2 linked regions of the Notamacropus eugenii genome follow. The protein of the gene in region 1 binds, or shares a complex with, the protein of each later gene. Links are inferred from orthologs where the notes say so. Each region holds a gene or a part of one and is shown on either strand. Other genes may lie near its edges. The genes, in order: POLR1B and TAF1C.

What was found.
Region 2: POLR1B (region 1) and TAF1C share a complex: the UniProt entries of both Homo sapiens proteins name them as parts of the pol I pre-initiation complex. The link is inferred for Notamacropus eugenii from reciprocal best matches to the Homo sapiens genes POLR1B and TAF1C.

What each region holds. Positions count from the first base shown.
Region 1 is NC_092872.1:602,811,428-602,827,461, reverse strand, and holds the start of POLR1B (DNA-directed RNA polymerase I subunit RPA2), read left to right. Parts: upstream 1-7,972; 5' UTR 7,973-8,744; coding exon 8,745-8,921; intron 8,922-11,258; coding exon 11,259-11,426; intron 11,427-11,743; coding exon 11,744-11,890; intron 11,891-12,910; coding exon 12,911-13,043; intron 13,044-15,084; coding exon 15,085-15,221; intron 15,222-15,343; coding exon 15,344-15,567; intron 15,568-16,034. UniProt on the Homo sapiens protein: Catalytic core component of RNA polymerase I (Pol I), a DNA-dependent RNA polymerase which synthesizes ribosomal RNA precursors using the four ribonucleoside triphosphates as substrates.
Region 2 is NC_092872.1:697,978,836-697,995,372, forward strand, and holds TAF1C (TATA box-binding protein-associated factor RNA polymerase I subunit C), read right to left. Parts: upstream 6,982-16,537; 5' UTR 6,901-6,981; coding exon 6,694-6,900; intron 6,002-6,693; coding exon 5,905-6,001; intron 5,520-5,904; coding exon 5,422-5,519; intron 5,327-5,421; coding exon 5,237-5,326; intron 5,112-5,236; coding exon 5,038-5,111; intron 4,709-5,037; coding exon 4,470-4,708; intron 4,193-4,469; coding exon 4,076-4,192; intron 3,899-4,075; coding exon 3,781-3,898; intron 3,696-3,780; coding exon 3,624-3,695; intron 3,444-3,623; coding exon 3,308-3,443; intron 3,192-3,307; coding exon 3,048-3,191; intron 2,902-3,047; coding exon 2,727-2,901; intron 2,637-2,726; coding exon 2,499-2,636; intron 2,343-2,498; coding exon 1,276-2,342; 3' UTR 246-1,275; downstream 1-245. UniProt on the Homo sapiens protein: Component of the transcription factor SL1/TIF-IB complex, which is involved in the assembly of the PIC (pre-initiation complex) during RNA polymerase I-dependent transcription.

The sequences.
Region 1 (16,034 bases):
AAGGTGGGATGGGGAAGGAGAATCAGAAAAGGCTTCATGTAGAAGATGATGACTGAGCTGAATCTTGAAGGAAACCAGGAATTCCAAGCAGTGTAACTAAGGAGAAAATGTATTTCAAACATGAGGAAAAGCTGTACAAAGATACAAAGATGAGATCTGTGGTGACACGTATAAGGAGCAGTGAACAGGCTTGTATTGCCAGAAGGGAATGTCTAAGAATACTGGAAAGGTCGGAAGAAGCCAGGTTTCAAAGAGATTTAAATACCAAAGAGGAGTTTGTATTTGAGCCTAGAGGTGATAGGGAGCCATTAAGGTTTCATGAATAAGGGGCTGATATCATCACAGGTGATCATTAGTGGTCATATGAAGGATAGATTAGAATGGGGAGAGGTTGAGGCAGGGAGACCAGTTAGGAGGCTATTGCAATACTTCAGGGGAGAGATGATGAATGGACACCACAAATTAAGATGATGTCCATATAAGTGTAGAGAAGAGGATGTTGTGGAGATAAGACAACTGACTGGATATGTAAGGTATGAGTGAAGAAGTGAGTATGACCTCAGGCTGCAAAGCTAGGTGATTAAAAAAGCTGTCAGTAGCCTCTATAGTAACAGGCAGAGGAATGGGTCTTGGGGGGAAAGTGAAAGATAATGAGTTTGGTTTTGGCCATGTTGAGTTTGAGAAACCAATACAACATATATTTGAAAGTAGACTATCAGGGGAGAGAAGAGAATTTATTAAGCACTTAATATGTGCTAGGAACTGTGCTTTAAGTACTTGATGATGTTGGACTGGAGCCTAGGAGAGAAACTACGGCTATAGATATAGATCTGGGGGTCATCTGCATATAGATGCTAATTTAACATGTAGAAACTGCTGAGGTCACTGACTGAGAGAGTGTAGAGAGGCCCCAATATAGAGGAGTGCCCAATACAGAGTCTTGGAGAACAAGTTCAGTCAGTGGGCACAACATGGATGATGAACCAGCAAAGGAGACTGAGAAATGATTAGATTGGTGAGAGAAGAATAAGGGAGAAAGCGGTGTCATGAAAACCAGAAGAGAAGAAAGTAAGAGGATAAGGTGGCTTACATCAGTGACATCAAACAAATAGAAATTTATCCCTATGGGTTTCATATTGACTGAGAAAACCACAAATTAACATTGTTGTATTGTATTAATTTTGTTAAACATTTCCCGATCACATTTTAAATGAGGTGCAAGTTTGATACCTTTGGTCAATAATCTCCTGCTACCAAAAGATTTAGGAGGAGGAGGAGGATTGAGAAAAGACTTTTATATTTGGTCATTTAAAAAGGTCATTGATAACTATGAATAGAGTAGTTTCACTTAGGTGATGGAATTGAAAGCTAGATTGTAAGGGATTTAGAAAAATGAAAGAAAACTCAACAGTACTGAGGATAGACTGCTTTTTCAAGGAATTTAACTGAAAAAAAGAAGATACAGATGAGAAAAAGGATTTCTGGGATCTGGTGAGGGTTGGGTTTTGGTTTTTTTAAGAATGGAGGAGACAAGAGACAGCAGGAAAGGAAACAATAGATAGGAAGATTAAAGATAGGAGTTGATAATGAGGGAGAAGAAAAATCTATTCATAGTTGATGCATTCTGCTCTTAGTTATATGATTTAATTTGGGTGTACACAGTCTTACAATGATTTTGGGTCACAGGAAATAGCAGATAATCTGAAGACACAAGGATTTTAGTGGAATACATGAGTGAATATGAGTAAACAATATGATTCAGTAACAGTAAGAAAGTTGATACCTTCTTAGCTGAGAGGACTGGGACCAGGAGCAGGACAAGGGCCACAATGCCATTCTGTCCTAGTCAGAGCAACTCTGGAGTATTATATGTTATTCAATTCTAGTTGTCACATTTTAGGAAAAGGATGGCAGCTAACAAGGCTAATGCAGTCTTGGGCTACATTATTATGTGTCATTTCTAGGAATGAGAAGGTGGCTAATGGTCCTGCTCTTCTCTTCCTTGGGCAGACCACATTTGGAATATTTTATTCACTTCCAGGTACCAAAATTTTGGAAAGGCATTGATAAGCTGGAGAGCATCTAGAGGAATATGGCCAGGATCATGAAGTGAAGGGTCTTGAGACAATGCTACTTTTGGGATTGTTTGAAGGAACTTAGGGTAACCTGATGCTTTTCAAATATTTAAAGGGCTATTCTTTTTCTTGTTTGGCTCCAATAGACAAAATTCGAAGCCATAGAAGGAAGTTATAGAGATGACAGTTTAGTGTTACAATTTCCTAACTAGAAAGTCCAAATAAAAAATTCTTGGAGGGAAAAAGACTTCCCAACAAAAAAAATTCCAAAAGTAGAATAGGTTCTAGGACTGCTAGATGGCACAGTGGATACAGCACTGGGCCTGGAATCAGGAAGACTCATCTTTATGAGTTCAAATCTAGCCTCAGACACTTACTATGTGACCCTGGGCAAGTCACTTAAATCCTGTTTGCCTAAGTTTCCTCATCTGCAAAATGAGCTGAAGAAGGAAATGGCAAATCACTCCAGTATCTCTGCGAAGAAAACCCCAAAATGGGGTCACAAAGAGTTGAACACAGCTCAGAAACAACAGAACAGACCAGGCTGATTTAAGAGGCAGCAGGTTCCTCTTCATTGAACGTATTCAAGCAAAGGCTTGATGACTGAACATATATTGAGATTTCTTCAGGTACGAATTGGACCACAAGCTTTCTGGGGCCTTTCATTTTATAGACAAGTAAACAGAACTTAATATGACTTGCCCATTATAAGCACCAATTCAATAATGCTGCCAAACAAAATAGCTGGTACATTATATTGCCTCTGTAACTGATTGGGTTGTTACTTTGAAAACCTTCCCCAGCATTAGACATGAAATGCTTTTTCCTATCAAAATATTTAAATATAGGTCCATATAAGTTAAGTAAGGTGAGTCTAAATTGTGAACTGGATGGCAATACTAAACTGAAATTTGTGAGAGCAGAGAGTATCACAGTATGTATATGATTTCCTCAGCAACAGGAAATGTCAACTAGCCTATAACTAAGTAGATAAGCTATTGGTTACATATAGGTTAAAGGATGTGCCCAAGGTCACACAGGTGGTGGGTATAAGAGAATCAGAGACAATGTCACTGTATACATAAAGGTTGAATGCGACTTCAAAAAATGGCAGCCTGTTGCAATTCTAAAATTAGTGAAATGCCTTAGTAAGACAAATTATTCAAGTATTTGTTTCTAAGGTCACAGAGAAAGAAAGGTTGTAGAAACCTGATTTTTGTTACCACCTGCAAAGTTTAAGTCATCCTTCTACATAGAGGACAATGAAGTTGACTGCTGTCTCACTCAGTTCTTTCTATATGGGACTACAGAACCTCTCTTCCAAAACAGAATCTTTCTGCTGATGAAGATACTGGCATAAGACAATGGCCAGCATCACATAGTGCAGCTTGATTTTTGATGCTCTGAAGTGTCTCATCTACCAAAGCTGAATAATTTTAAGTTCTCCATCAGGGTCACTCCCAAAAAAAGTGGAGTAGTACTCTTCCTGGAGTAGATGAAACCTTGTCTGTGTATGTGACCAAATTCTATGTCAACCCAGGTAGGGATGACTGTTGAGAGCTTTCTCCTTCAGAAAGCTATGACAATTCAGACATGGCCCCAGTGGTTCAGCTATACTCCAGGGTAGGTGTGAATTGGTTTTAGGGCCCTAACCATAACCAATACCCAAATCAGACCCAGGTTCTGCCATAGTCTTAGGAACCACACTAGCTTCTGGGATAGATCAAGACAGTAATACCAAGTATGGTACTGTGCTCTTCAAAAAGAGCTGAGGCCCTCCAAAATCTCAATATAGCTGATGTTTAAGGCTCTTTGTGAGGGTCCGGGTCTGGTCAAATATGGTTGGGGTTTTTTTGAGTTTATTCTCAGGGTAGTATGAACTAGACAGAAGATTCAGAGTTTACAATAACCAATAAGCCTCTTGTTTTATAGGAATTAATCAACTCAGGCAAGGAAAGTGAAAAATACTGTTAAGACCTAAAGGACTGTAGGGTTCTGAAGGCCCAATATGATCACTGGAGTAAAATGTTTTTATCCTTTTTATTTTTGGAACAAAGAAGTTTAGAGCTGGGAGAGACCTTAGAGACTAAAGTGGAATGGGGCAGAAGGGAGAATGCTAGATTTGGAGTCAGAAGATCTGATATTGAGTCTCTACTCCTCCACCAATGACTACCTTGTGATGTTGGGCAGGTCACTTAATCTCTCTTGATCTCAGTTTTATAATATACAAAATAGGGGGAGGAAGTGGACTAGATAATCCTTAAGGTCCTTTCCACATCTGATTCCAGAGGTAACATAGATAACATGATTAATCTAAAATAAAACCATATTTTATGAGGCAACTGAGAGGAAAGAACTGTTATGGCTTTTACTGTAAACTCTACTCTATTCTAGGGACAGTAGAATAGAATGTATATAGCCAGAAAAAACTATGACTCAAAGCAATACAATGTTAACTTTTCCAAGAGAAAAAAGATTTTTTTTTAATAGAAAATAGCTCCATGAGGGCAGGGATTGTTTCATTTTTGTCTTTGTATTCCCTGAAACTAGAACATCTGACACATTGTAGGTGCTTAAGAAATACTGAGTAATAGATGGGCATAAGAGTAAAAAAGTGCTACGTCTATCATTTGAGGGGTTCCCTACTTGCCATAACCTTAAGAACTGGGGGAGAAGGGGGAGTCTGTGTTTTTCCTTTATATTTTGATACTAACTTATTGTGTGATTCTAGGGGAGGTCTCAACTTTTTATGCCTGTTTCTTTTTCTGTGAAAAGAGATCGTAGCCTGATCCATTGATCTGAACTATCCTTGGGATGAAGGATCATGTGTACATATTCAGAGATATCTGATGATGATCATTTATTAGAATGATCTTTAAGCAGTAGTTTCCTTCCATTCGTTTTGTAGAGGTTCACTCCAGAAAATACCAAGGTAGCTCATTATCTGGCAACAGGGTAAATAACTTTTGTCACGGATGCTAAAAGAAGAGAAAAGAAGTCTCTAATGCTTTTTGGTAACACTGAGTGCAATACATTCAAGAGAATGTAGGAACAAGTATGTGGTTTGTGATGCTAGGATTCCTCACAGGAGGAATATTACTTGAATTCAGAATTGGTGAACTGCTTGTTGGAACAGAAGTCAGAATGCTTTAAATTCCTTTACTATCTTTCTAATTGATTTCTTACACATCAGATTACTTAAATTAGCTCCTTGCAGAGAACTGACTAATATGTTGCTTCTAATGCCATCAGTTAGCAACCAGCAATACATTAATGTTAAAAATTAACTTCAAAAGCTAGAGAGATTTAATTCATTAAAAACTAAAATTTCTCATATGTAATCTGTATGCCACACTGGCATTAGTCCTCTTCCAAAAACTCACAAAGCATAAATCATACTGATTCCTATACCACAACTTGAAAGAAAACGGGTGCTAGTGACTGAGAAAGCCTATCTGAAAAATACTTTTTCCTATAAAGGCATCTTAAGGAAGAATATGTATTGAGCTCAGAATAAAACATTTACAGATGTATAATACAATACAGATAAATAACACATTTACAATTACAACCCATAATAATAGTTTGATGAATGATAGCATCCTGTTACTGGGAAGAATATTTTGTCCAAATTAACAAAAGGTGTAGACAATTTTGAATTGAAGTTAAAATATGTAATGAAGTAAAATTTGATCATTAAAATATAAAATTTATCAGTACTACTGCACTGATGGTAAATTCTTTAATCTGAAAAGGCTATAAGCCAAGATGAAAGTGGAGGAAGTGTTGGTGCATGATTTTCTGTTTGCAGATGATTGTGCACTCAATGCAGCCTCTGAAGCTGAGATGCAACAAAGTATGGATCAATTCTCCACTGCCTGTGCTAATTTTGGCCTAATAATTAACACCAAGAAAACACAGGTGTTCCATCAGCCACCACCACATCATTCATACATGGAACCATCAGTTACAACAAATGGAAAAGTTTTGAATGCTGTGGGTAAGTTCACTTACCTTGGTAGTATACTTCTTGGAATGTATACATTGATAAAGAGGTTGAATGCCAGAGCTAGCCCAGTGTTTGGGAGACTCCAAAGGAAAGTGTGGGAGAGAAGAGGTATTAGACTGAATATTAAGCTGAAGGTCTACAGAGCCATTGTGCTGACCTTGTTGTATGTGAAACATGGACAGTCTACCAGCTCCATTCCAGGAAACTGAATAGCATCCATTTGAATTGTTTTAGGAAGATTCTGAAGATAACCTGGCAGGATAAGGTACCAGACCCTGAGGTCCTTATGTGAACTAAAATGCCAAGTATTCACACACTGCTAGAAAGAGCACAACTCCAAAGGGCTGGTCACATTGTTCCAATACAAAATGTACATTTGCCGAAAAGACTGTTTTATGGAGAACTCACACAGGGCAAACATTCACATGGTGGTCAGAAGAAGTAATACAAGGACACTCTTAAGGTGTCTCTCAAGAACTTTAGAATTGATTGTGTGACATGGAAGAGACTGGCGCAGGACCACTCAGCATGGCATGCCCACATCAGAGAAGGCACTGTGCTCTATGAACAAAGCAGAATTGAAGTGGCTCAAAAGAAACACAGAATGAACAAATTTAGAGAATCTCCCCCAAATGTTCACATGAACAATTTGTGCCTGATCTGTGGTAGAGCTTTCCAAGCTCATATTGGTCTGATCAGCCATAATCAGACACACTGAAACTTAAGAGACTCTGGCATAGTGATGTCATTTTGGTCCTCTTCAAGAACAAAGGACCACAACCAAATATATCTGACTAATACCCTATCCAACACATGTTTGTGAAAGGGCTTCCTTACTCTGTACTTCTATGTATCATTGGGTGTTAATTTTAAAGTAACACATTTTTCAACAAATTGCAAAGTATTTTTTTGTCTAATATGCCCCTTGTTCCTTCCTCTCCCAATTAGCTAGAGGTCTTTCTGATTCAGCATATCTAAATCAGTTTTATTGAAAAGCGTTTGAATGATGACTTTTGTCACAATTTTCAGTCAATATATGGCCAGTCATTTGTGTTAGAAAACAAATTCCATATTTAAAACAAAGCATATTTACTATATTTCAATTATTATTGTACCCTTACTCATTTTCTGCCCCCAGAGGTTGACTGCAACAATAAATGGCAGTGGAATTCAAGCCATGTAAGAGAAGTGAAACCAGCCTCATATGTGACTAGACCACTTTGTTGAAACTGTAATCAGGGCCTTTGCAAGACTGCATGCATGTCTATGTTCAATGCATTTCCTGGCAGTTCTCCAAACTTTGTTGCCTACCTAGAAAAAAACACTGCGCAATCAATGTAGAAATAACATTGTATCCACAGAATCAACCTTTGGAAAACAAACCACAATGAAAAGAAATATCTGTAACAGTAATTGGCATACATACAGAATATCAAGAGTTTGTGTAGTTGACATACCAGAGCATGAATGTATGTATATGGATCAGATGGGATTTTCGTGACTACATTATACACAGTTCCCTGATATCTGTATCCAAATCAATTAAATATGAGGGGGGGAAACTATTTTTCCCGAATTCCTAATGGAAGTAGAGGCAGGAGGGAGAAAAATTCTAATGGAAACTATGATGTTATATATATTAAAATTATGCAAAGTTGGAAGGAAGATCAGAGATCAAGTCCTACCTCTCACCCAATGCAGGAAACATCTGCCAGACGGCCATCTGGTTCCTATTGAAACACTTGCAGTGACAGTGTGTTCATTACATCATGAGGTGATCCATTTCATTTGGACCGTTCTCATTCTTAATTGGCCCGTAAATTCTTTTCTGTTTTGCCTAAGCGTGTCTACATTACAATTGTTAAAACGTAAGATGTGTATGTTTTAATTCAGTCTGATTCAGCAAACATTTATTTAGTGCCCAGTATAAGAAAGGTGCTTTAGATACAAAGATGAAAATGACGTCACTACCCTTCATTAAGGAGCTTTTCAAGCAATAGTAGACCCATTTTACAAAGTGAGAAACTGAGTTTTGTAGAGAATGTGGAGCTGCCTGGGACGACACTTCTAGCCTCAGTTCAGGCAAAGCCTGGGAGAACGTGCGCATCGGGGGCCGAGGCGGCGCAGGGCCCGCAGTCCACACGCGTGGGCCACCAGGAGACGGTGGTACAGTCAAGATTCACAAATGGGGGGGAGGGGAACTGCTCTCAAACTAACGATCTCTGAGATACTGATTTACAATACCATACGTTTGTATATTTATTTAAACTAATCTACTTATCTTGCTAAATAGTTCCTAATTACATTTTGTTCTGGTTCCGGCGGATCTCAAGGAATTTTGTGGGCACCCTGGTGCCCAGGGTTTGACAACTCTGTAACCCGCCAGTGAGCCGGGCGGACTTGGAAAAAAATCACCAAAAAAAAAAGGAAAAGGAAAACAGAAAGTACTTCTCACGTGGGCTGCTGGGACTTGTAGTTTTCCGGTTACGGGTCTGGTTTTTTTGGGTTTTTTTGCTGGCGCAGATGTGACGCTTTACTTCATTTACTACATTTACTACATTTCCCAGAATGCCACAGGAGGGAGGGGCGGGAGTTAATGACGAACTGCCTTCTGGGATGTCCAGCAGCTGTGGCTCGTTTCTCCCACGCTGTTAACCGGCATGGATCCCGGTTGTAAGTGGCGGGACCTACCCGGCGGGCCCAGCCTGAAACACTTGACCGAGCCGGGTTACGGGATCCCGAAAGAACAGCAGCTGCCGGCTTTGCAGGAACTCACGCGGGCGCACATCGAGTCCTTCAACTATGCTATGCGAGAGGGGCTCAGCCACGCGGTCCAGGTGAGCGGGCCAGCCGTCCCTCCCAGGGGCTCACTTCCCCTGACTCCTGCCCCATAACTCGCCCCCCGGCTTTCCTCCCCGCACTGTCCTGCCCTCTTTCCGACCTGCCCCGAAGTGTGCCCCTTCCCCTTCAGGCTTCCCACCTTCCTCCTCCTACGCTGGTGTCCCCCCCTCCAGCTTCTATCTCCTACTCTGGTCTCGTGGCCCGACCTTCCCGTCTCTCCTCTGCCCCCATCCCCGTCTCGCGGTATCGGGGGTGGGCCGAGCTCTTGCCCCTTGCCCCGCTCTGTTCCCGCGTGACTGGCTCTGTCCTTGGGGGCGGGGCAGAGGCTGAGGGCTGAGCCCTGGAGACCGGGAGGAATTGGGAGATCCGGGTATATGGGAGGATCTCATTCCCAGCAGGATCTGAAATGTTATTCTCTCCTTCTTCGCAAGAGACTGACTCTCTCTCTCTGTCTCTCTCCCTCCCCCCCTCCGTCCCTCTCCCCCTCTCCCTCCTTCTTCCCTCTTCCCCTCTCCCGTCTCCTCTCTCCCTCTCTCTCTCTCTTCCCTTCCCTCTCTCTCATTTTCGCCCTCATCTTTCCCTCCTGTCTTCTAAACTATCCTCCCACCTTCTGCTACAAGCCTTTCCTAGTCCTCCTTAATCTTAGTACTTTTCCTCTGAGATGATCCCCAGTTTATCTGCATGTTGTTTCTCCAGTATTTATCTTGTTTTTACTTTCTCTCCCCCATTACCCTATGAGCTTCTTGAAGACTGGGATCAAATTTTGGCTTTCTTCTTATCTGCAATACTTAGCATAGTCTCTGTTTCATAGTAAGTTCTGTATAAATACTACTGAATTGACTAAGCCTGGAAATTAATGAGAGCCACTCAAAGGATTGTTTGTCATGCTTGTTACCTTTGACAATTTATTAAGCGGTATTTTGAGCAAGGGAATAGTTGCTGGTTGAGAGTGTTCCCTCCCATTTATTCAGCAGTATTTATTATGTGTTTATTGTCTACCTTCTTCCCATGGAACGTAAATTCCTTTAGGGCCAGGATTATTTTGATTTTTGTCTTTATATCAACATCCTGTGTATGTAATGTGGCACCTAATAAGTGTTTGTTTGATTCATCTTGCTAAGTTCTAGGGTAGAGCTTCTTAAACTTTTTCCACTTCACACCCTTCAGCAGTGTGAGTGGGGGACATGATATGAGATATTCCCACGAGTATGTACAAAGCTTAAGAAGACATAGTCTTGCCCCATGGAGTTTACTAGATAAGAGGATAAGACAAAAATACATAATAGAAGCCAATATTTAAGTTTTCCCAAGTACATCATATCCCAGTTTCTCCTTTGAGCCATATGGTGAAATGGTAAGAAGGGCACTTAGAGGTTTAATTATTCTGATTTTGTTTATTTCTTAAAGTTAGGTTCAGAGGAACTGAGTGAGAGACCTGTGGTCTCACAGCTCAGAAGCATTAGAGACAGAATTTGAACCTAGCTCTCCTGTATTTTTCCCATTTTACCACACAAGGTACAAGACAGAGCAGTGACCTCAAAGAAGAGGGGTAGAGCAGAAGGCACATGACCAGGCTTTGAGAAGTGTGTGAAGGGGAGCAGCAAGTATAGACTAACTCATCCAAAAAGTTTAGCATTGAAAATGGGGAAGGAAATAGTAAAACAGTGTTAGTAGGGTCAGGGGAAGGCATCTTTTGATATGGAGGCATGCTTATAAAGTAAGGAAAGAATTAAAGGAAGAGTAAATTCAAAATCTTCAAGAAAAGATGATGGTATGAAAGGCCCAGTAGAAGACAGGATCAAATGCACAGGTGGATGGGTTAGCCTTGAGAAAGCAGGGTGACTTCAGTTCTTTCTTTGAAAGAAGAAAAAAGAAGCTGGATGAAAATACAAAAGGCTTGAAATATGAAAGAGTGAAGCAGAGGGAGTTCAGGTATTCAGGGAAGATTTTCTGTCACTCTGCCCCATAAAGTCACTTAAAGGAGATTCTGGCTTCATTCTCCTTTTCATGTATAAACCTGATCTCCTGTAACCATCTTTTACTTCTGTAGGCTCAGGGATACAAATAATGTTTTTCATATTTATGAAGTCATTAATGAGACCCTTCTATTGAGGGAACATAGAGTGATTGCAATCCAGTGATTGCCCTATTCTTCCTTGAATAGCTTTAATTTTTATAAAGTTCTTAATTATATCAAGTCTAAATGAGCTTATCTCCTTTATGAGAATAAATAAGAAGTTATCAGTGCACTTAGAACAGACGTGATTAGAATGTCCTTTGAGTGAAAGTTCTCAGAAAATGCAAAATAAAGAAAAAGGGGTGTTGTGTTTCAGGCCATTCCACCTTTGGAATTTGCTTTCAAAGATGAACGTATCACTCTTGCTATTGTGGATGCTGTCGTTGCTCCTCCCATGGTCCCTAAAGGGAGCATCTGCAAAGATTTGAAAATCTACCCAGCAGAATGTCGTGGTCGGAGAAGTACATATCGGGGAAAGCTGACAGTAAGTAAATAACGGTGACTAAATGAATAACAAATGAATAATCGATATGATCGATTGTATATCTAGTGTATCTAATAAAAATATCACACTTAACTGGGCTGCTTAACTTCATTAGTAGCTTATGTTTTGTAAGTCTAAAGCACTAAATATCATATAGAAATTAGAACTGTTTCTCTCCGGTTCCTCCTCTCATATTAGAATTAAGTGTTGTGCTAACTGTTTAAAATGAGCCTTTCAATTACTTTTGTAGTTTCAGTTGTCTGGACACAGTTTTTTATCTTGGCTAATGTATTTTTTTTCCTTCTGTTTTCCATTAGGCTGATATCAGCTGGTCTGTGAATGGGGTCCCCAAGGGAATTATTAAACAATCCCTTGGCCATATTCCTATTATGGTGAAGTCTAAGCTGTGCAACTTACATAATCTTCCTCCAAAAGCTCTTATTAAGCACCATGAGGAGGCAGAGGTAAAATGAAATCAGTAACTTGGGTTAAATAAAGAAATATTTAATTCATTCAAAATCTTACTTAAAAGTTTGTTTTCACCCAATTTTCCATCTAATTTATTAATCTTTTCTTTTTTAAAATGACTTTATTATTTTTTTACATCCCCACCTCCCCCTCTCAGAGAGCTATCCCATGTAACATAGAATTTTTTAAAGACAAAAGAAGAGGAAAAAAATCATAGCTGATAAGTACGTCAAAAAAGTTTGAAATTATGTGCAAGATTTATAGACCTTACCACCTCTGTAAAGAGGTGGGTTGGGAATATCCTCTTACATCCCTTCTTTCAAGTCATACTTGCTCTTTATGATTTTGCCACATTCACTTTTGATGTACGTATTTATGTTGTGTTCTTCCTGACTACCACATTGTCATAGTCACCTTGTATGTTGTTTTCTTGGCTCTGTTTACTTCACCCTGCATCAGTTCATGTAGATCTTGCCACACTTCTCTCTATTTAGCATATTCAGCATTTCTTATAGCACAGCAAATCCCATTATATTCATGTACCAAAATTTGTTTAGCCATTCCCCAATTAATGGTCATCTCGTTAGTTTCTGATTCTTTATTACAAAAAATACTGGTGTAGATATTTTGTTATATTTGAGGAGTTTCTTCTTATTGACTTTCTTCAGGTACAAGCCCAGTAATGGAAGTCTCTCAGTGAAAGGATAATGAGTATTTTATCGCTTTATTTGCATAATTCTGGGTTGCTTTCCACAATGTTTATGTTTATTTATAGCTCCACCAACAATTAATTAGTGTGCCTGTCTTTTCACAATACTTCCCACGTTGACTATTGCCATCTTTTGTCATTTTTGCTGCTTTGCAGGGTGTGAGTTGAAAATCTCAGTTGTTTTAATGTACATTTCTCTTATTAGTGACGTGGAGTATCTTTGATTTTATATAGGTGCTTTTGTATGTAGATATGCATGTGTATATGTAGCCTTGTGGTATTAACATCACTCTGATTTCTTTGACAGGAGATGGGAGGCTATTTTATAATAAATGGTATTGAAAAAATTATCAGAATGCTAATTATGCCTCGGAGAAATTTTCCCATTGCAATGATAAGACCAAAATGGAAAACCAGAGGCCCTGGTTATACCCATTACGGTGAGTAGTGAATCATAACAATTAATACTGGGATGGTAGCTTAGGAAAAGATAAATTTTAAGTTAAATATTAAAATGATTAAATGAAATGAAGAGAAGTTTTATTTAAATTGGTTCTTTTTTCTTCTGTATGATTCCATTTTATTAAATATTTCATTGTTGAAAGCTGGAAGGGACATTAGTATTCATTAATTCCAACTTTTGACCTAGTTCTGTTAATAATACACCATTCTTAACAGATCATCAACAAGCCTCTGCTTGAACATTTCACAGACATACACATCATGTTCATTTTTGTATAATACTAGTTGATTTTGGCTCAATATAAGAAAAAACTTTCTCACTTCCCAAAATTTCCTCTGGATGTAGAGATCTGTATATTTGCAGATACATATAGATCTGTGTATATATGTACACACACACACACACACACACACACACACATACATATATGGGGAGAGAAAGAGAGATAGGCAGACAGAAAAAGAGCCTCTCTGATTGGTTCAACTCTTTTATGAGAGTTCCAAGACCTTCCCTTTAAAGGGTGATGGGACTAGGCCAGTCTTTTCTCTCTTTAGTCCAAAGGTCCTTTTACTAACCCACATTGCCTGCTATTTAATGTAGTAATTTCATCTGCAATACCCCTTATAGAAGTAGGTTAACTATCTAATTTGTTTTCCATTGTGAATTTTATGCCATATTGGTTTATTGTAAAATGAAACATCTTCTGTTTTCAGCCTCCTTACTATAATGGAATTCACTTGTGTTCTCTTGGTTTTTTGTATTAAAATACAAAGTCAACTCTTTGTATAAAAGAACATAATCACTACATTTTAAATGTGGTTCTCCCCTTCAAAGTAAAATTTCTTCTATATGAATTATTGGTTCACATGAACTATCCAGAGCTAGAAGGTATGTCAGACACCATCTTGTGCAACCGCCCTCATTTTACAGGGAAGGAAACTGAAGGCTGGAAGTTTGTGACTTGTCCAAGGTTCCACAGGTAGTAAACATCAGAGAGAGGATTTTACTGCAGGTCCCCAGACTCCTTGACCAATGCTGATTTAAACTGTGCTATAATAACTTTTCATTCCCATCTAGACTGGGAGAGAGCCCAGGTTTTCATACAGTAAGCTATGGCGCTTTGGCAGATGATCTCTAAGGTTTCTTCCAGCTCTATGATTCTCTTATTTTCTGTGTTCTGTCTTTCTCTTGCTAATATATTTTAATATTTTGTCCTTTTTTAAAATTATTTGTCATATTCCCCATAAGCATATACCAACCCTACATAAGCACATACAGATAGTTCTTGTTTTATGTAAGTAGACCATTTCACAGACCTCTGCATAAAGTGATTTTTACATAATGTGAATGTTGGGAGGAAAAGGGTCAGGGGGTCAGTCAGCGCATTGTTCAAGGACACATGGGGACTAGGGACAGAGAAGTAAGAGTAAGAACAGGAACACATGGGGATCTGGGCCAACTATACTGAAGGCTGACACTTGGAAGTCAAGATATGGACACAGACAGGAGAGTAAGGCAACACTGGGGGGCCAGGGACAGATGGAAGACAGTGGGTGGGTGGATTGAGGTAAAGGTCTCTCTTGACACTGGAGGTTTCAAGCCACACTTCCAATTGAGGTGGCAGTGGGCAGGTGTATCTGCATCTATTCTCTCTCATTTGGAGGGGTTATTTTTAGGGTTGTCTTGTTTTTGTTTGTTTAGGTTTGGGGGTGGGAGGGAGTAGAAGGGTGGGAGCCAAGGGGCAGAAGCTATGTGAGCATAGGAAAGTTAACATAAGTGGGTTTTTTGGAATGTGGATTTCTTTCGGAATTCTATATGTAAAGTTGAATTTGTCAAATGTGAATTTACTTAAAATGAGAACTGTATTGGCAATCAAACTGATTAGTATCTTTATGAAACAAATTACTTGAACTTAAACTGCTTAAACCTCTGGGTATAGATCTACCCTTTTTGAGTTATCATCAAGTATAGTTGCTAGAGGCACCAAGTTTCTAATTTTGTAATGCTTATTTTGACAGGAATTTCAATGCACTGTGTTAGGGATGAGCACACTGCTATCAACATGAACCTTCACTACCTGGAAAATGGCTCAGTGATGGTGAATTTTATTTATCATAAGGAATTATTTTTTCTTCCTCTGGGATTTATACTCAAGGTATGAGTATTTTTCTTATGAGATTCATCAGAAGATTCCAAAGCTTCAATCAGATTCTGCAAAGTGAATTATAGATTTGATTAAGTAGATCACTAATGTTAAACTTATTTTTTCTGTTCTAGGCATTAGTTGGTTTTTCTGATTACCAGATTTTTCAGGAGCTGATCAAAGGAAGAGAGGAGAACTCATTTTTTAGGAACTGTGTTTCTCAGATGTTAAGAATTGTAATGGAAGAGGGTTGTCTCACACAAAAACAGGTCCTTAACTATTTGGGAGAACGTTTCAGAGTAAAGCTCAGCCTTCCTGATTGGTACCCAAATGAACAAGTTGCAGAATTTCTGTTAAAGTATGTATTTTCTTGCAAAATGTTCTTACTTTTTTGTAGGTTTGGGATTCAAGGTGGGGGTTTTTATGATAATATATTTGAAATGTAGTTGATGGTATAGTAGTTAGCCCCCCAGCCTCAGAGCTAGAAAATTTTGGCTTTGGATCTTCCCTCTGACTCCTACTGGCTGTGTCACCCTGGGCAACTCACTACACCTCTCAGAAGCTCAGGCAATCCTCTGCTGACCTGCACTGGTAGGGGGTGTTTTCTCACTAAGAGTACCTTATACCAACAACATTATAGCTCTGGCCTCTGTGCACAGGTTCCATTTGTGTATTTGTAGTTGGGTTAGAGAGAATATGGATTAGCAGTAGATTTGTGGCTGCTGTGGTCCACAGAATCTCTACAACGAGGTCATTGGAGCTTGAAATAGTGATAGCTTTTTCTTTTTCATTGGACTTCACCTTAATGGCCAAGTTGGAGAGGAA
Region 2 (16,537 bases), about 95 Mb from region 1:
TATGTATTTTGTTAAGTTACCTGGGAGCTTCTTTCATCAGATCATTTATAAAAAAAAAAATAGTCTTGCCACCAGCCCTGGCATTAATCAGCAAATATTTTTTCAGTACTATTTTATGTAGAAAACACTGAAAAATAACTAGGTTATTATAAGGCCTCTGTATCAGCTTATACTTTTCTTCCAGAGAAGTGTCTTAATCTCCATCTATCAGTTCCTTGCAAAATCATTCCACATGACAACAAATACACAATTTAGTTTTTAATTTATATTCCTTTGGCTTCTTTAAGGCATAATATTTTCATATAACTAAGACTTCTTTTTTCTCTACATTTTCTCATACATTTTAAGTAACAGTGCCCTGCATATCTTGCCTTTTTCCTCCGTTATCAGCTCATGGTGATGTCCAAGAGTCCAGATGGTCAGGCCAGACATAGGAGATGGATGAGCTTGTGTTAGCTGCCCAAATCTGAAAGCTGGAATGTGGGGAGTTTTGAGTCTCCATATGGACTCATTACCTTGAAGGTCATAGTGAAGGGATTACCAGGTCATTCTGAATAAGGGAGTTAGCTAAACATAGGAAATGTAAAATTTTAAAGGCTCAGAGTCTGAAAATTGAGTCAATGCTAATGGAGAAACATTAGACAATGGCTACGACATGGCTTCTCATTCACACTCCTCAGACTGAGTTTTCAAAGTCCCTCAAATATATCTATTGTCTCTGGTGAAACTGAGACTTTGCCCAAGGAGCCTTCATGTACTGTCTCATGGGCACTATGGTGCCAACTACAGAGGGTCTGTGTGTCCCCTGGGAAACTCTTCCCATTTGGCTCTGGTACTATGAAAAAGAAAAACTCAAGGCCGAATGGTCTAATTAACTGACCCAGCTTTCAGTAATCAGTGAGAAAGTGTCAGAACCAGGGCATAAAGAGAGGGTAGAGGATCTTCCAGTGATCTTTCATGAACTTACAGAGTGATTAGTATTAAAGCAAATGGGTGAGATTTGGACTTTTCCAGACAAAGTGAGTTGGAAGCTATTCCTGAACACCAGGACTGATCCATCTATTCAATGGTGGAGCCAGACACAGTAAGCTTTCAACTCTGTACGGTAATAAAGGAAGCAGAATTGAGTAATGGTCTTTAACACTTATACAACTCTTTCTGGGCTTCAGATTTCTCATCTATAAAATGAGGAGGCTGGACTAGATTCCTTCTAGTCTAAAGCTACAATCCCATGAAGGCCAGGATTTCTGAGGATCCTACAATCCACAAAAGTCCTTAGAAGCCCATACGGGGTTTTTTCTTGAGGGGTTGTGAGCCTGCAAGCGAAGGAGTGTGACGGGAGGGCAAGCTCCGGATGCCTGAATTCTGAGAGCAGAGGGCAGAGGAGTTCCTTTGGTGAGGGCGAAGAGGGGTCTGGGTCCTTGGATCCTGGGAGCGTGGTACTGAGTGGCTCATTGGCTCTGAGGTGGGCAGGGTCTGGCTGCTTCGATTCTGGGATCGGGGGGAAGAGCAGTTTTCTGATTCTGGAGAAGGGAGGACTGCAAGGTAGTCTCGAAGTGTTTGCCGACGCTCACGGGGTACATTCCGAGCCCATGGCTCCTGAGACAGCTCCTGAGACTGAGAAGCTTCAGACATCCTGTGGAGAGGGCTAGGAGTCCCATGGTGACTATCCATGTCAGAGAAGTCAGAGGTGGCTCTGATAGAGGAGAAAGAGCTGGAAAGCTGGGTCCGCCTCTTCTCCCGTGATGGCCGCTTTCTTGGCACCTGGGTACTGCCTTGCTGGCTGTCCCACCAAATGGCTCCCTTCCCCTCCCAGAATGCTTCCAAACGTTCAGTCAATTTGTTCTCAGGACCAAAGGGCTCATGAGCAGGGGGAGGATCTGAGGGAGGGAGGGGGCCCAGGTCCCTTTGTTGCAGCAGCCGGCCTTCATTCATGGCAGCCTGTAGGCCCTCTCGGACCTTCCCTTTCACTTCCTCCCTCAACCATCGGAGAGGGTGTTGGGAGAAAGTAGGGGGTGTCCAAGGAGGGAGGGCTGGGGGAACTTGTAGTAGGGTTTTCAACCAACGGCGGCAGCAAGCAACAGCCTGAGGATTCCAGGAAACAGCACCAGAGTCAGGAGCTGTGTCCAAGGATGAGGTAGCAGAAGACTGGTCATGAGAATGGAGGCCTGGATCATCAGTATGGTCAGTGCAAGACTTACTATTTTGGAGAGAGTCAGCACTTTTGGAATTGGTGTCTGGCTGGAGCCAGAGGTGCTGATAAAAAACATCTCCAGCAGCTGAGAGCTGGAACAGCAGCATGGTGGGACTGGGACAACTTGGAGGTACAACAGCAGCCAAGCCTGGGGAAAGATCGGTGAAGAGGATCCCAAATCCTGAGCTGCTGAACTTGGACAACAGATTGCTAACCATGAAACATCCCATGTGGGGGATGTCTTTATCCCCATTCCCCGTTCCCTCTTGCCCTCCCATCTCCATCAGTATGTCCCTCAACATACCCATAAGAGGGGCCTTAAGACGGTCCTGCAGCAGCTGCTGACCATGTGGCTCAAGGACTGGAAAGCCAGGGAGTGAGTCACTAAGTGAAGGGAGTGACTGTGGTGGTGCTGCTAGCTGAGGGGTGTGACTGGACCCTCCTGAGGAAAAAGAGGAGCATGGGGAGTTGACCAGAGACACCAATCCAAGCACCGTCACTGGGTCCTGCTGGTCTCAGCCCCAGGCCTCACCTGAGAGATGCAACATCCGAAGATGGCCCCCAAGTCCTCCGAGCAGCAAGGGAAAAGGTGCCCCAGGACAGGGTGGGGGCAGGAGCTCAGCCAGCAGTGGAGGTGACATAAGTGCATGGTTCCACTTCAGCATTGGCACAAGAGGTAAACGCTCGTCCAGCAGGTAGAGAGAGAACTGAGGGTATGGTGACTCAAGTCAGGTGGGCAGCACCCACTCTGCATGGACATATCCTGGGGACTTTGGGGAATGAGGGAGTCAGATCTGAGAGAAGGGACACTGGGATTAGAGGAAGGTGTCTCCATAGGGGGAATCTCACTTACCTGTGTACAGATGAGATGAAGGGTGGGACTCAGGGAGACCGGACTGGATGTCCCCAAGTACTGAGCCAATAAGATACGCTCCCCTCGCTGACATGAGGCTTCAGCCCCTACACGAAAAAGGAACTCACCACAGCCTGAGGGACCCTGAAGTCAGACACAGGGACAAGAGGTCACCTCCCTGTGCCCCAGAGCCTGCTCACCCATCTGGATACCCCTGATACCCTACGTGGTCAGTGAAAATTATAATCCTTGCCCCATACCCGAACATCTGTGAGTCTGACTCCAGTGCGGTCAGCGACAGTCAGCATACGGGGGTGAGCAGTGAAGTCTGCCCAGCGCCACGAAGAAGAGTCCTTGAAGACAAGGGTTTCAGGGTCTTTGTATATTTGCTTCAGCCTTGGGGAGAAGAGAATGTGCCTCACTCTTGGTGGCTAACAGGAGAGGTATATTTAAGATGCCTAGGTTTACTGGGGTGTGTCTGACTGAGGATGCTGGCAGCCACGCCTGGGATAGATAGTCTTTAGAGTAGGGGACAGGGGGAAAGACTAGACTGGGAGGCCTAGGGGTGAACATTACCCATTCTGGGGGCTCCACAGACACACAGCTCCTGAGCGAGTGCAGACTGCCAGCTCTCCAGGAAGATGAGGGCTGCAGGTATAGAGGGAGTGAGGTTAGCATAGGCATCCCCTTTTCCATTCCTTTCTGCAGTCTATATCCCAAGTGCCCACCTCACCTGAGGCTGATTCCTGTGGCTCCCTTCTCTGTACCCAGCACCTGCAGGGGCTCAGGATGCCCTTGACGACTGACCTGCCACACAGCACAGTGATGATCAGAGCGGACAGCCAGCAGAGCTGAGGAAAGAGTAGGAGTTAGCTGAAAATAGTCACACACTCTGCTGGCTGGGATGGGGCAGGGGGAGAAAGGGGACTCAGGAGCTAAATCAGGAAGCATCCCTGACAATCAGTCCAGGCTGGGGTGGGGGGGGAATGGAAAATGGGGCCACTGAACCAGATGTTTACGGGTCTCACCTTCCCCCTGGACTGTGCGGGTCACCACCTGCCGGACTGGTCCCTGGAGCAAGATTTGGGTTGGGTCCCCAACAGCCTGGGGTTTGCGGGTGCTGAACAGTTTTACCTTCTGGAAGTCTGAGAGGCCAGTTAAGGCAGTCTTCAAATTTAGGATCAAGGTCTAGAAGGGAACTTTGAAACCATTTACTCTAAGCCACTTAGAGTCTGAAATCCAGCCCAGGCACTTGGATCACACACCAAGCATTCTACATGTGACCAGCTCACTGCAGGCTCATTAGCTCTACAACTGATCCCTCCCAGGCCTCCTGTACCCTTCTCCTTCCCCCTATCAGGGAATAAGTCCCTGGTCAGAGAGGATAAGCCAGTCTCCTTCCTCCTTCCCACAGAAGGATACTCAGCTGGTTGTAGGCTTGCCCAGTAGGGTAGACCAGCTGCCCAACATGGGGTTTAGCCCCTGGGACCCAAGCGAGAGCCCCGCCTGTAGAAGTTTCATCCAGCAGTAGCCCCTTCCAGCGGGTCTCCAGCTCCTCATGCAGCAAACCCCCAAGCAGACCTTCCACTTCCTCAGCCAGCACTGTGCCCCCCAGGAGGGAGAATCGTCGCTGACGGGTGCTCAAGTGGGCCCAGGGGCACCTGGGAGATGAAAGATCCCATTAAAAATAATACCAGATCACCCTTTCCAGGACACTGAACAAATCATAAAGCAACTGTTCTTACAGCAACCTTTCAAAGTAGGTTGTGTAAGGATTATCATCCCCATTTTACAATATGGAAACTAAGGCTTAGAGCTGGGACTCAAACCCAGGGCTACCATTGTACCCACTAAGTTAGCATAGGAGGGTGACCAGAGAAGAAAGTTGGTAGACAGCTGATCCCACCTCTTGACTCTCCTTTCTTCCCAATCCTAGAACCCCACAGTTTTGACTAACAGTACGCCCCCTTCTTCTCCTTGGGTCACTTGCCCCTTGGGCTGGTGTCCACTGAGGTCCTGGAGCAACCGTTCTGCATTCATCACCGTCCTGTCCTTGCGGGATTTCTGGAGAGAAAGCTTCAGTTACTTCTTGCCTCTGGCCAGTTTGCCCATCACTTCCCTGTGTCACTAGGGGTCAACTGCAGCCAGCCAGGGGTCACTTTTACCAGTTGTCCAATCGTCAAATTTACCTTTGCTTTTCCCAGGTTAAAGTCCTCCTGCAGCAGCTTTCCTAGGGGCCCAAAGGCAATGTCCCCATGATCCCACAAGAACTGGTTGAGCTGAGAGGGGGACAAAGAAAAGGACAGTGACCACATGTGGCAAGGGCCAAGATCAGAGCCCAGAGTAACCCTCAAAAGACCCAATGCCCACTTACCTGCTCCATAACATCTACTGTCGCTTTGGCCCCAAATGGACGCCTCAGTCTCCCCTGGAAGAGCAAATCTCGGGGGGTCAGCTCAGGGTTCCAGAGGTCTGAAGGGAAAATTAGGGAGATTAGGGAGAAGGGGCCCAAGGTTCTTGGCAAAGGGAGCTGAGCTGGGAGGGAAGTCTGAGAATACATTGAGGAGGAAGTCCTAAGAAGGTAGATAAAAGTCTAAGAGGCAATCCCAGGAATCTGGTAGGAGCATTCTAATTTCCTTGTCCATGGTAGGAAACATGTATATCTGACAACACTGGGCTTTGAGATGAGAGCCTGTGGTTCAAACAGCTGCTGCTAAATGAAACTTCCGTAGAAGGAGCTTTAGGCTGGGATCCAGGGGCTGTACCCCAATAAAATAGGGTGGGAGGAAGGACTTGGTGGGTTGTCAGAAAGCAGCAAGTAGGGTTGGGGTAGGAACAGAAAAAGAGGACCCCTCACCAGGACCAGGGCGCAGGAAGGGCAGAGGTCCAGGAGTGTCAGACTTCCATCTTCCCCACTTTGTCACATACGATGTCTCATGCTGGGGGGGGTTAACCTGGGGGACAAGGAAAGACTCCAGTAGACCACACTTGTAGTATCAAGGTTAATCTCCATTTTGTGGGAGAGGGTGGTAGGGTGGAAAGATCATCAGTTTTGAAGTCAGAGCACCTGGATTCCAATACCCTCTTTGACACTTACTACCTGAGTGATCTGAGGAAAGTCATCTTTCTTCTCTGGGTCTCAGTTTCCTCATCTGTAAAATGAGGGATTTGGACTCTGTGGCCTCTCAGATCCCTTATACTTCTAGATTAAAGGGTGGAGGACCCATTCAGTTCTTGTAAATTATTAATGCTGAACTAGATCAAATCCTTTACATCTAAACATTTCCTGTCCCTCTAGGGAAGGTGTGAACTAGCGATGGATCTGGAGTCGGAGGACCCGCTTTCAAAACCCAGCTTTGACACTTAGTAGGCCACTTGATGTCTGTGATTCTTTACTTGTAAAATAAAGACAACCTCAGAGGTCCCTCCCAGGTCCAAATCTATGATCTTGATGAGGTTCTAGAGAGCACAGGTAATACTATTCTCCTTTTATTATGGAACTAAGGATGAGAAGTTCCTCAAGTCTCTGGGGTGCCCAGGACATCAGACATCCCTGTGGCCAAGCAGAAGTGACTAGCACCTTGTGTACCAACTACCAACTGTCCAGACAACAGTTCCCCAGAAAGGGCTCTGGGGCTGCTCCTACCGATGGATCCTGGGTCTGGGGGGGCTTCAGCAGCTGCATACAGTCACTCCAAGCAGGGGCCAGATACAAGCCAGGGGAATCATTCAGGCCAGGGGGGCCAGGCAAAAAGAACGTGGGAAAGAGATTGTCAGGGAAATCCATCTGCGTGCAGGGCTCGTGTCCAATTCTCAGGTCTCGGTTCCTATGAAACAAAGATGAGAAAGACATGTTTTCTTTCTCTAATCAGTGGAACACTACACAAAAGCTTTCATGGGGCCACAAGCCTGAGAGAAGGGGCAACAGGGGAGTAAAAAGGGATTCAAAACCAAGTCTGTCCTCAGCAAAACTCTCTGTCACAGGAGTCTGTCTGCAGGGCTCACGTGCTGAAGGTTCTGGTTTCCCCTCTGAGCACAATTTATTCAGTCAGCAGATTTCCATTGGGCACCTAACACAGGCAGGGCATCCACCGTGCTATTCTTTGAGGGAGAAATGATTTAAATCAGTTCTGATCGCTCCCCTCATGAAACTCAAGTCTAGGATAAGACACAAAAGTAACAAAAACGAACAATGTTGAACAGGTACATTAAGAGATGCAAAGCATTACCTATGTGTGATCCAAAGGGGAAAGTCATTATCTTCTTGGGGGATCAACCCCAATCCTGGATCGCCTCCACCATCTGCTTCCTTCTCCCCTTCTGCTACTGAATAAAGCTGGAGGTCTTTACAAAACTGCAGACTGCATCCACTACAGCTTTCTGCTAGTTAAGCTCAGATAGGCCTTAAATGCTACAAGTTTTTGTTGTTGTTATTCAGTCTGACTCTTTGTGATCCCATTTGGGGTTTTCTTGGCAGACATACTGGAGTATTCTGGAGTGGTTCACCATTCCCTTCTCTAGCTCATTTTACAGATGAGAAAACTGAGGCAAGCAGGGTTAAAGGACTTGCCAAAAGTCAAAGCTAGTAATTGTCTGAGGCCAAATTTGAACTCAGAAAGAAGAGTCTTTGTGACTCCAGGTCTGGCACACTATGCCACCTAGCTGCCCCAATGCTACAAGACACTCCTTTAAAATCCTTCCTAACTGATTCTCTATCCCACTCCTGGGCGGCTGTTCCAAACCTTCTCTTCTCAAGCTTCCCAACTGTTTTCCAAACCCTTTCAACTGAGAGGCTGAAAAAACGGAGGCCATTCTCAGAGAGCTCCCCTCCTCCCCATCTCACATCCTTTCAACAAACATCCCCCTCCTTCTCTCCAGTCTGGGATGAAGATGAGGCTCTTCTTGTCAAGGCCAACTCCTCCATAGGTACCCTTATCCCATCTCCCTCTGTCATTTCCAGCTTAGTGGTCCCACTATCAACCTACTCTTTCTAATCTCCAATTGCAGCCTATTTCCTGGCTTCTTCCCTGCTACTAACAAACTCTCCCAAGTCTTCCTTGGTCTTAAAAAAAACCAAAAACTACCATCCCTGCAATCCTCCTACCTCCTCCCCTTCTCAATGAAACCCCTAGATTGTCTGTCCTCAGTGCCTCTGCATCCTCTCCTCTCACTTTTTAATTCTTTATATTCTAGCTCTAGGCCTCATCATTTCACTGAAATAACCCTCCAAAATCATCAGTGATTTCTTAAATGCCAAATCTAACACCTTTTTCTCAGTCTTCATCCTTCTTGACCTCTCTGCAGACTCTGGCACTGTTTACCACCATCTCCTCCTGGAAACTCTTTCCTCTGGGTTTTCACAATACTATTTTCCCTTTCTGGTTCTCTTCCTTCTGTGACCATTGCTTCTGTCTCCTTTGCTGAAAGATCACTCGCAAAATAACCACTGTGTTGTATCCCAAGGATCTCTCTTTGACCCTCTTTTCTCTCTACACACTCTTATTTGGTGATCTCAATTCCCATGGGTTCAATGACCAATGTCTGGAGCATAGTATTCCTAGAATTCCTAAGGGCAGTGAGACGACTCAGTGAATAATGTACCGGACCTGGAGTCGGTATGACCTGAGTTCAAATTTGACCTCAGATACTTACTAGCTGAGTGACCCTTCTGCAAGTCTCTTATCCCATTTGCCTTAATCCACTAGAGAAGAAAATGGCAAACCACTGGAGTATAATTGACAAGAAAACCCCATGGACAGTTTGGTCCACAGGGTAATAAAGAGTTGGATGACTGAACAACAACATAGTCTATTTTGTGGGGTAAAGGGTTGTTTGTGGGGTTGAGTGATCCAGTCTGGGGGAACCATGGAATGATAATATTTGACCCAATCCCTGTGTAGCTGAAGTGGAATGGTGAAAGTCAATGATGGTGAGGAACTGAGAGGTCAGGAAGTGAGACTAAATGACAAAGTTTGAGGAACCTGAAGACAGGAGGTAGAATGAAAGGGATGAATTAGGCTGCAGCATGCCTGAAGTGGGGACATAAAAACCTGACATATCTAGGGAGAATGCGATTAAATAGAACCGGGGTTGTATTCTACCCAGAACAGGTCTGGTTATGAGACCTGAGACAGCCAGCGTGGCAGAAAGAGGCGGGATGGGGAATCAAGTCAGGTCAAGTACGAATAAGTACATGGCACTGAGTTAAGAACTGGGGCTCCCAAGAAAAGTAAAAGTCCCTGCTTTCAAGGACCTCAGAGTGTAATGGGGGAGACACCATGCCAACTGGAGAGGGGGGAGAAAGAGGGAGAGAGGGAGAGAGGGAGGGAGAGGGAGAGAGGGAGAAGGAGGAGAGGGAGAAACTGGAGATAATTAACCAATATTAAGGAAAGCTGGGAAAGGCTTTTGCAGAAGGTCAGGGGAGGAGGCAGAGACGAGGAAGGAGAGAATTTTAAGCGAGGGGGGCAGCCAGGAGAGATGCCCCGAGTCGGGAGATGGCGTGCTGCACTCTAGGAACCACCAGGAGCCCAGCATCACTGGATCGCAGAGTACTCGGAGGGGAATATGATAAAAGGAGTGCAAGGATCCTGGAAAAGGAGGGAAGGGGCAGGTTGTGAAGGAGAACGTTAGGGCCGCCCAGTACAACCTTCTCCTACATCTTTCAGAAAAGTCAAGCCTACAAGGGGAAGGAGACTCACCCGCTGTCCCTGGGCTCATCAGTCGCGGGTCTGGGATTCAAACCCTAGTCCAACCGGTCCTGGGAAGCGGGTCGAGAACACCGTTTCAGTACCAGACTTGGAGGCCGGGGCTGCACCCCAGGCTCAGCCCCTCCCCACTCTCCCAGTCTGTGAAAGGGGGTTTAATGACCCCCCCACCCAGCAGAGAAAGGAGCCGCGATTACTCAGACCTCTTCATCTCCTTCGGTGTAGAACGGCGGTGGTGCCTCCATCCCCCGACAGCCGAGACGGGCCCACTGGTACCCACGAGAGCCGGCTCACCAGCCACCCCGAGGCAGACACGTGGGAAACGAAGAAAAACGCCCACACACAAAAAGAAACTGACGACTCACTCACTGCGCATGTGCGGGACCAAGAGATTTCCCAGGATCCTCCAGAGCCAGAGCCCCAAACCCGATCCCCGGAAGTCCTCCTCCTGGAGAGAGCTGCCTTACTAAATATGGCGGCCCCCTTAGTCTCATTCCCCCAATAGGAGCCGCCATTATCCTCAGTGCAGGGTTGGTCCCGCCCCCTTGTCAGCCGCGTGGATGGTGGCCCGCGGGGGCCATCCCAAGGCCTCAGGAGAAACGCGGAGCTGGACGGTAGGGACTTTCTTAATAACCCGACTGTCCGAGGGGAGAGGGTGCTCTGGCGCTTTGTAGCTGGCCCCGAAACGTTCCCGCACCTTGCGTCCCTGCTCGCCTTGCTGTTACAAAGCACTGGAAAGCCGGTCCAAGAGAGGAGACTTGTCCAAAGTCACGACGCGCGTAAGATCGCGATCGAGCTGGAGTTAGAGGCGACTGTCGTGTGTGGTCACGATTAGATGGGGAGCTCCTTGGGCAGGCACTATTTTTTGCCATTTCCCCAGGGTTTAGCACAGTGCCTGGCACACCGAAGGTGACTGAGCGAACGGTCAATTTACTGATTGATTTAATCCAAGCCCTTGCCGCCACACCCCGCCCCTTTTTAGATCTCTGAGCTATTAGGATCCCCCAGCGCTCAACCGGGTGCTTTGTGCACCGTGAGTGCTTGTAAGTGTCCCTCCATTCATTCATTCACTCGTTCACTCATTCACTCACTCATTCACTCATTCACTCATTCATTCACTCATTCACTCACTCATTCATTCACTCATTCACTCACTCATTCATTCATTCATTCACTCATTCACTCACTCATTCACTCATTCATTCACTCATTCACTCACTCATTCATTCACTCATTCACTCATTCATTCATTCATTCACTCATTCACTCACTCATTCACTCATTCACTCATTCACTCACTCATTCACTCATTCATTCACTCATTCACTCATTCACTCATTCATTCACTCATTCACTCATTCACTCACTCATTCACTCATTCATTCACTCATTCACTCACTCATTCACTCATTCATTCATTCACTCATTCACTCATTCATTCATTCATTCATTCATTCTTCATTCAACCAGATAGAGAAAGTCCGATAGATTGGGAACTCCTTGAAAGTAGGGAAGTTTGGGGGCTTTTCTAGTATCCCCAGTTCAGCGCAATGCCTCGCACTGTAGTAGATGGTGCTTAATAAATGCTACCTAATTAGAAACCAGGTGTCACGATTCCCACCTCTGTTCACACCGATACCTTGGACAAATCACTTCGTGTTTCTGGACATCAGTTTCCTCATTTGTAAAACGGGGTGGGGTTGGACTAGTTCAGGGGTTCTTAACCTGAGGCCGTGTCTATCTCCCACCCCCCAACGCCCCACCCCAGCCCTCGCCAAAGTCCATGAATCAATCCACATTTATTATTAAAAAGGTCCATGGATGGATTTCAAGGGTTTCATGAACTTGTATGGGTAAAGAAAAAAATTACCTTTATTTCAATATAAGTTGTTTCCTTTATATGTATGATGCAATATATAATTATGTTAATTATAATATTTCAATATAAAATGGTTTTCATATTCAATGCAATTTAAAACACAGTTCTGAGAAAGGATCCCTAGGCTTCGCCAGACTGCCCAAGGGGTCTATGGAACAAACAAGATGGAGAACCTAAGTGACCTGAAAGGATCCATCTGGGAGAAAAGATAAAGAGGAATTTTCTGAAAATCCTCCCAGGGCAACCTTCTCAGAGATTCCTGGCTTGTTACTTAGGATCTGAATGATCTTGGACCAATAGCTTAGCCTCTCTGGTTTCTTCATCTGTAGAATGAAAGGGGGTTGGGCTGGATATTGCTAAGGTCCCAGCCATCTCTGACCTTCTGTGGCTATGATGCCAGCTTCTGGGCCCTTTAGCTCTCAGGAAATGCCTCCCTTAGAAAGCAGCAACTCCTCTGCTCCCCCTGCCCCCTCCCTTTTTTTTTGCTTTCCTTTCTGTTTTTTCAGGAAGAGAGCTAAGTATCAGGAACTTCCACATCACAAGGGCCTGCATCTAATATACACACAGGTTTTGGTTTTTATTTTTTTTAATTAATTAATGTATTTTTAAGTTTTCAACATTCACTTCCATAAGATTTTGAGTTTTAAATTTCCTCTCCTTCTCTTCCCTTTCCCTCCCCAAGACGTGCGATCTGATAAAGTCTCTACATATACATTCATATTAAACATATTTTCACATTAGTCATATTGTAAAGAAAAATTAGAACCAATGGGAGGAACAATGAGAAAGAAGAAACTAGAGAGAGAGTAACTAGTCTGCTTCCCATCTTCATTCAGATTCCAAAGTTCTTTCTCTGGATGTGGACAGCATTTTCCATTGTGTTTCTTTAGGAGTTGTCTTAGATCCTTGCACTGCTGAGAAGAGCTAAGTCTATCAGTTAGTCACTGAACAATGTTGCTGTTACTGTACACACAGGTTTTTAAAAAATAGTGATTATAAGTGTTGACCAGGAAATTTGGTTAAAAGAGGCAAACAGGTTAAATTCATATTGTTTGTTCTCTTAAAACTAGCAGTTACATGAAACTTCTGACTGTCTGATACAAGAATGACCAGGCTTAAATACACTTTGCCATGAGAAAGGAATTTTCTTAATTGTATAAGTTGTAAATTCAGTGAGATAAGACAACTAAAAAAGTAGTGTCAGATGGAATTTACAATCCCAGGATATCTGAGTTTCCTCTGTATAGCATATGTCTCTGTGAAACAAGATAAAGAAGAATCTTACCACTCTAGTTGTAGGCATCCTGTCATAAACAGGTCTTTTAAATTGCTGACACAGAAAAGGGCATTTTTAGAGCAAAACAAAGAAGTCTGATTGATTAGTTCAGGTTTTGACCCTTATTAAAAGTCCAAAAATGATATTTAATGTTAGCATAAGCAATGTTATTTTTTTTTTTTAACACTTTGGGATTGTCTTGGATCACTGTATTGCTGAGAAGAGTTAAGTCAGTCCTGATTGATCATTGCACAGTGTGACTGTTACTGTGTACAATGTTCTCCTGGTTCTGTTCACTTCACTCAGCATCAGTTCATATAAGTCTTTCCACATTTTTCTGAAGTCTGCCTGCTCATCATTTCTTATAGAACAGTAGTATTGCATTACATTCATATACCACAACTTGTTCAGCCATTCTCCAATTAACAACAGTAGTAATAATAGCTAGCATTTACATAGTTCTTTCAGGTTTGCCAAACACCTTATAAATAAATATAGTCTCATTTTATCCTCACAACAACGCTGGGAAGGAGGGGCTATTATAACTTTTATTTTTATTTGGTATCTTAAAGTTTTCAAAACACTTTACATATATTATGTCTGTTGAAACTGACAACAGTGAACCTTGCTCATATAATTCCTGGACTCCCAGGTATTTTATACTGTCTAGAGTTATTTTAAATAAACAATGGAAGTAGGTATTGAAGATTTCCCCACTTTACAGATGACAAAACTGAGACTTAGGTTAAGTGACTTACCTATGGTCTCACAGTTAGAGTGTCAGAATCAGGATTTGAGCCCATGGCTTCCACACTCCAAGCCCAGCACTCTGTGCAGTTAACTGGAGCACTGGATAGAGTAGCTGGGCCTAGAGGTAGGAAGACCTGAGTTCAAATCTAGCCTTAGGCATTTCCTAGCTGTGTGACCCTGGGTACGTCATTTAACCTCTGTCTGGCTCAGTTTCCTCAATAGTAAAATAGGAATAATAGTAGGATAGGATTATTAATGCCTCAGAGGTATTAATAAGGCAACAAATAATACCTCACAGAAGTTTGTTCTGAGGATTGGGTGAGGCTCTCATCGGAGGATGGAACCATGAAGTCCAAGACCTCTGTTTAATGAGGAAGCTCAGCTGGGAACATCTCCTCCTTTCTCACCTGGCTGCATGACCTTGGACCTTCTCTGACTTTTCCACCATGAGTGCCTTCCCTATGTGTGGGATACAGCAACCCTTACTCAAATTAAACTCAGAAGCTTCTCAAGGTAGAAGGCAAAAAGGAATTTATTACAATTTATTACAATCCCTTGAGAAGTGGCACTTTCCACAAGACTATGGGTGATATCAGCAAGGGAGTGCACCTGAGTACACCTGGAGTACAGCTTTTTATAGTCCCTAACAGGGAAGCCCACTAGCCTCTCTTCCCATTGACTGGGAATTCAGGCTTACAATCTAAGCGCGGGAATCTACCCCAGAGACAAAGAACATGGAAAGGATTGTTGCTCTTCAACGAGGGTTTTTGTTACCAAATAGGGAACTTAAGGGAAGAATGCTGATGTGGCATAAGGGGTGGAGAAGGGGAAGGGTATACCAGGTCACATGACTGGAACTTAGGTGGTTCTCCTGCATCCTGGAGCATTAGCTATTTTAGCTTTGGCAGGAAGGGTGGAGATTTTGGGGAATTCATGCCTGAGGGGTCTTCACTTGACCTGATTTCACTCACCTATTACCCCTCCCCTCTTTCAGCATCCTTTTCATAAAGTGTTCTCAATTAGATCGTAAGCTTTTCTTTCATATTTGTATCACCAGCCGTAAGGAGTGGTGGGCCCCAGAGTTAGAGGACCTGAGTTCCTTAGGCACTTACTAACTGTATGACCCTGGGCAAGTCACTTCACCCTCTTTGCCTCAGTTTTCTCATCTGTCAAATGAGCTGGAGAAGGAACTGGCAAACCACTTCAATATCTCTGCCAGGAAAACCTTGATGGCCTCGGGAGAGTGGGAGACAACTAAAATGACTCAATAACAACAAAAATCCCTAGCTCTTAGTACAGCACACTTCACATAGTAGGTGCTTAATAAACGTTTATTGATTAATTGATTAGCACAGTGCCTGGTACATAGCAGATGCCTAAATGTTTATTGACTGACTAATATTATAGAGCACCTGACACCGGCACTTAATGAATGTTTGCTCTCTTCTAGCTAATAAGACTAATAAGTCTAACTAATAAGCTAATAAGTATGGTAAGTTATCCAACTAAAATGCTATATATTTTTGCTAAAATTTTTTAACAGTATAAGATCAATATTTAAAACAAGAAAAATAAATTGCCAAATCCTCCAAATCTCTGTGAATTTTAAAAACTTTGTTTTTTAAATTTTGAATGTTTTTAAAATATAGCTGCAGTTCATCTATATGCTTTTTCTGTTACTGAGCCTTGCTTTATATCAATTCATATCTTGTTGTATGTTCTAGGATTATTGGAAGAGATGGAGCAAGAGTTTAAAAATGTATTTATAAATGGAATGAGAGTGCTGGAGGGGAAAATTGGAAAGGAAATGTGAATTATATGTCCTTGTATTTTTCTTTCCCTTGACAAGTTGAAAAGAGAGAAATTTAAGGTCAGCTCTGGCATTCTCTCCTCCTGGTTTGCACAGATGTTTACTTAAGCACCCTTATTACATGATAATTCCCTCCTTGTAGATTCCTTTTCTCTCTTTCCATTCTTTCCTTATGATCATCAATACATAACAAATCCACTCCCAAGCCTTGTCTCATTGTACTCCTTTAAGATTCCCAATGAATTTGGAAAAGAAAACACCAGTATTTGGGGGAGGGGGCTCAGATAAGCCTTCAAGTAGAAGATGGTGCTTGACTCAAATCTTTATGGAACAGAGGAATTCTGTGAGGCAGAGGTGAAGAGAGAGGACCTTCCAGGTATGGGGAGAAGCCAGTGCAAAAACCCGGAGATGGGGAACTGTGGAGGCAGCACTGAAAGAAGAAGAATTTGTTTGGATTACAGAAGGTGGGAGGGGGAATTATGGTTAATGAGTCTAGAAAAACTGGTTGGGGCCAAAGAGTCTAGGGTTTTTGTTTTTTGTTTTTAATGGAAAAATGTTGAATTTAATTTCTTTAACTTTTTTCATAAACATTATTAAATGCTTTTGCAAGCTTCCTTTTTGATATTTTAAACAATGACTGAGTCACCTTCCTTCAGAAAATTATTTTCAAAATCATTCAGAATAACTTGAAAAGCCACTTTAAATTATTAGGGCACTTAAAAACACCAATGGCATCCGCAAATTTACATATGAATTGACTGTCTAAATATATATAATATATTTTGGAAAGCCAAATGATTCTGACAAGTGAAAAAATTGTATAGGATTTTAGAAGCTAAAAGAGGGAATTCACAAGTTTATATTTTATCTTAGAGGTAATGCGGATGATGAGGTTCAGACTCTGGGAACTTCCTTGAGCTCTCTGGAATCCCCTCACTTAACCTGGCTTTTCATACTTAAATGTGTGTTTTGTCTGTTATTTCTTGATTGCCCCACCTGCTTCCCACCCAAAACCCTCCATTGTCTGATATCTCCTGATAGCCTCCAGCTGTTTCCAGTCTTTGACCCTCC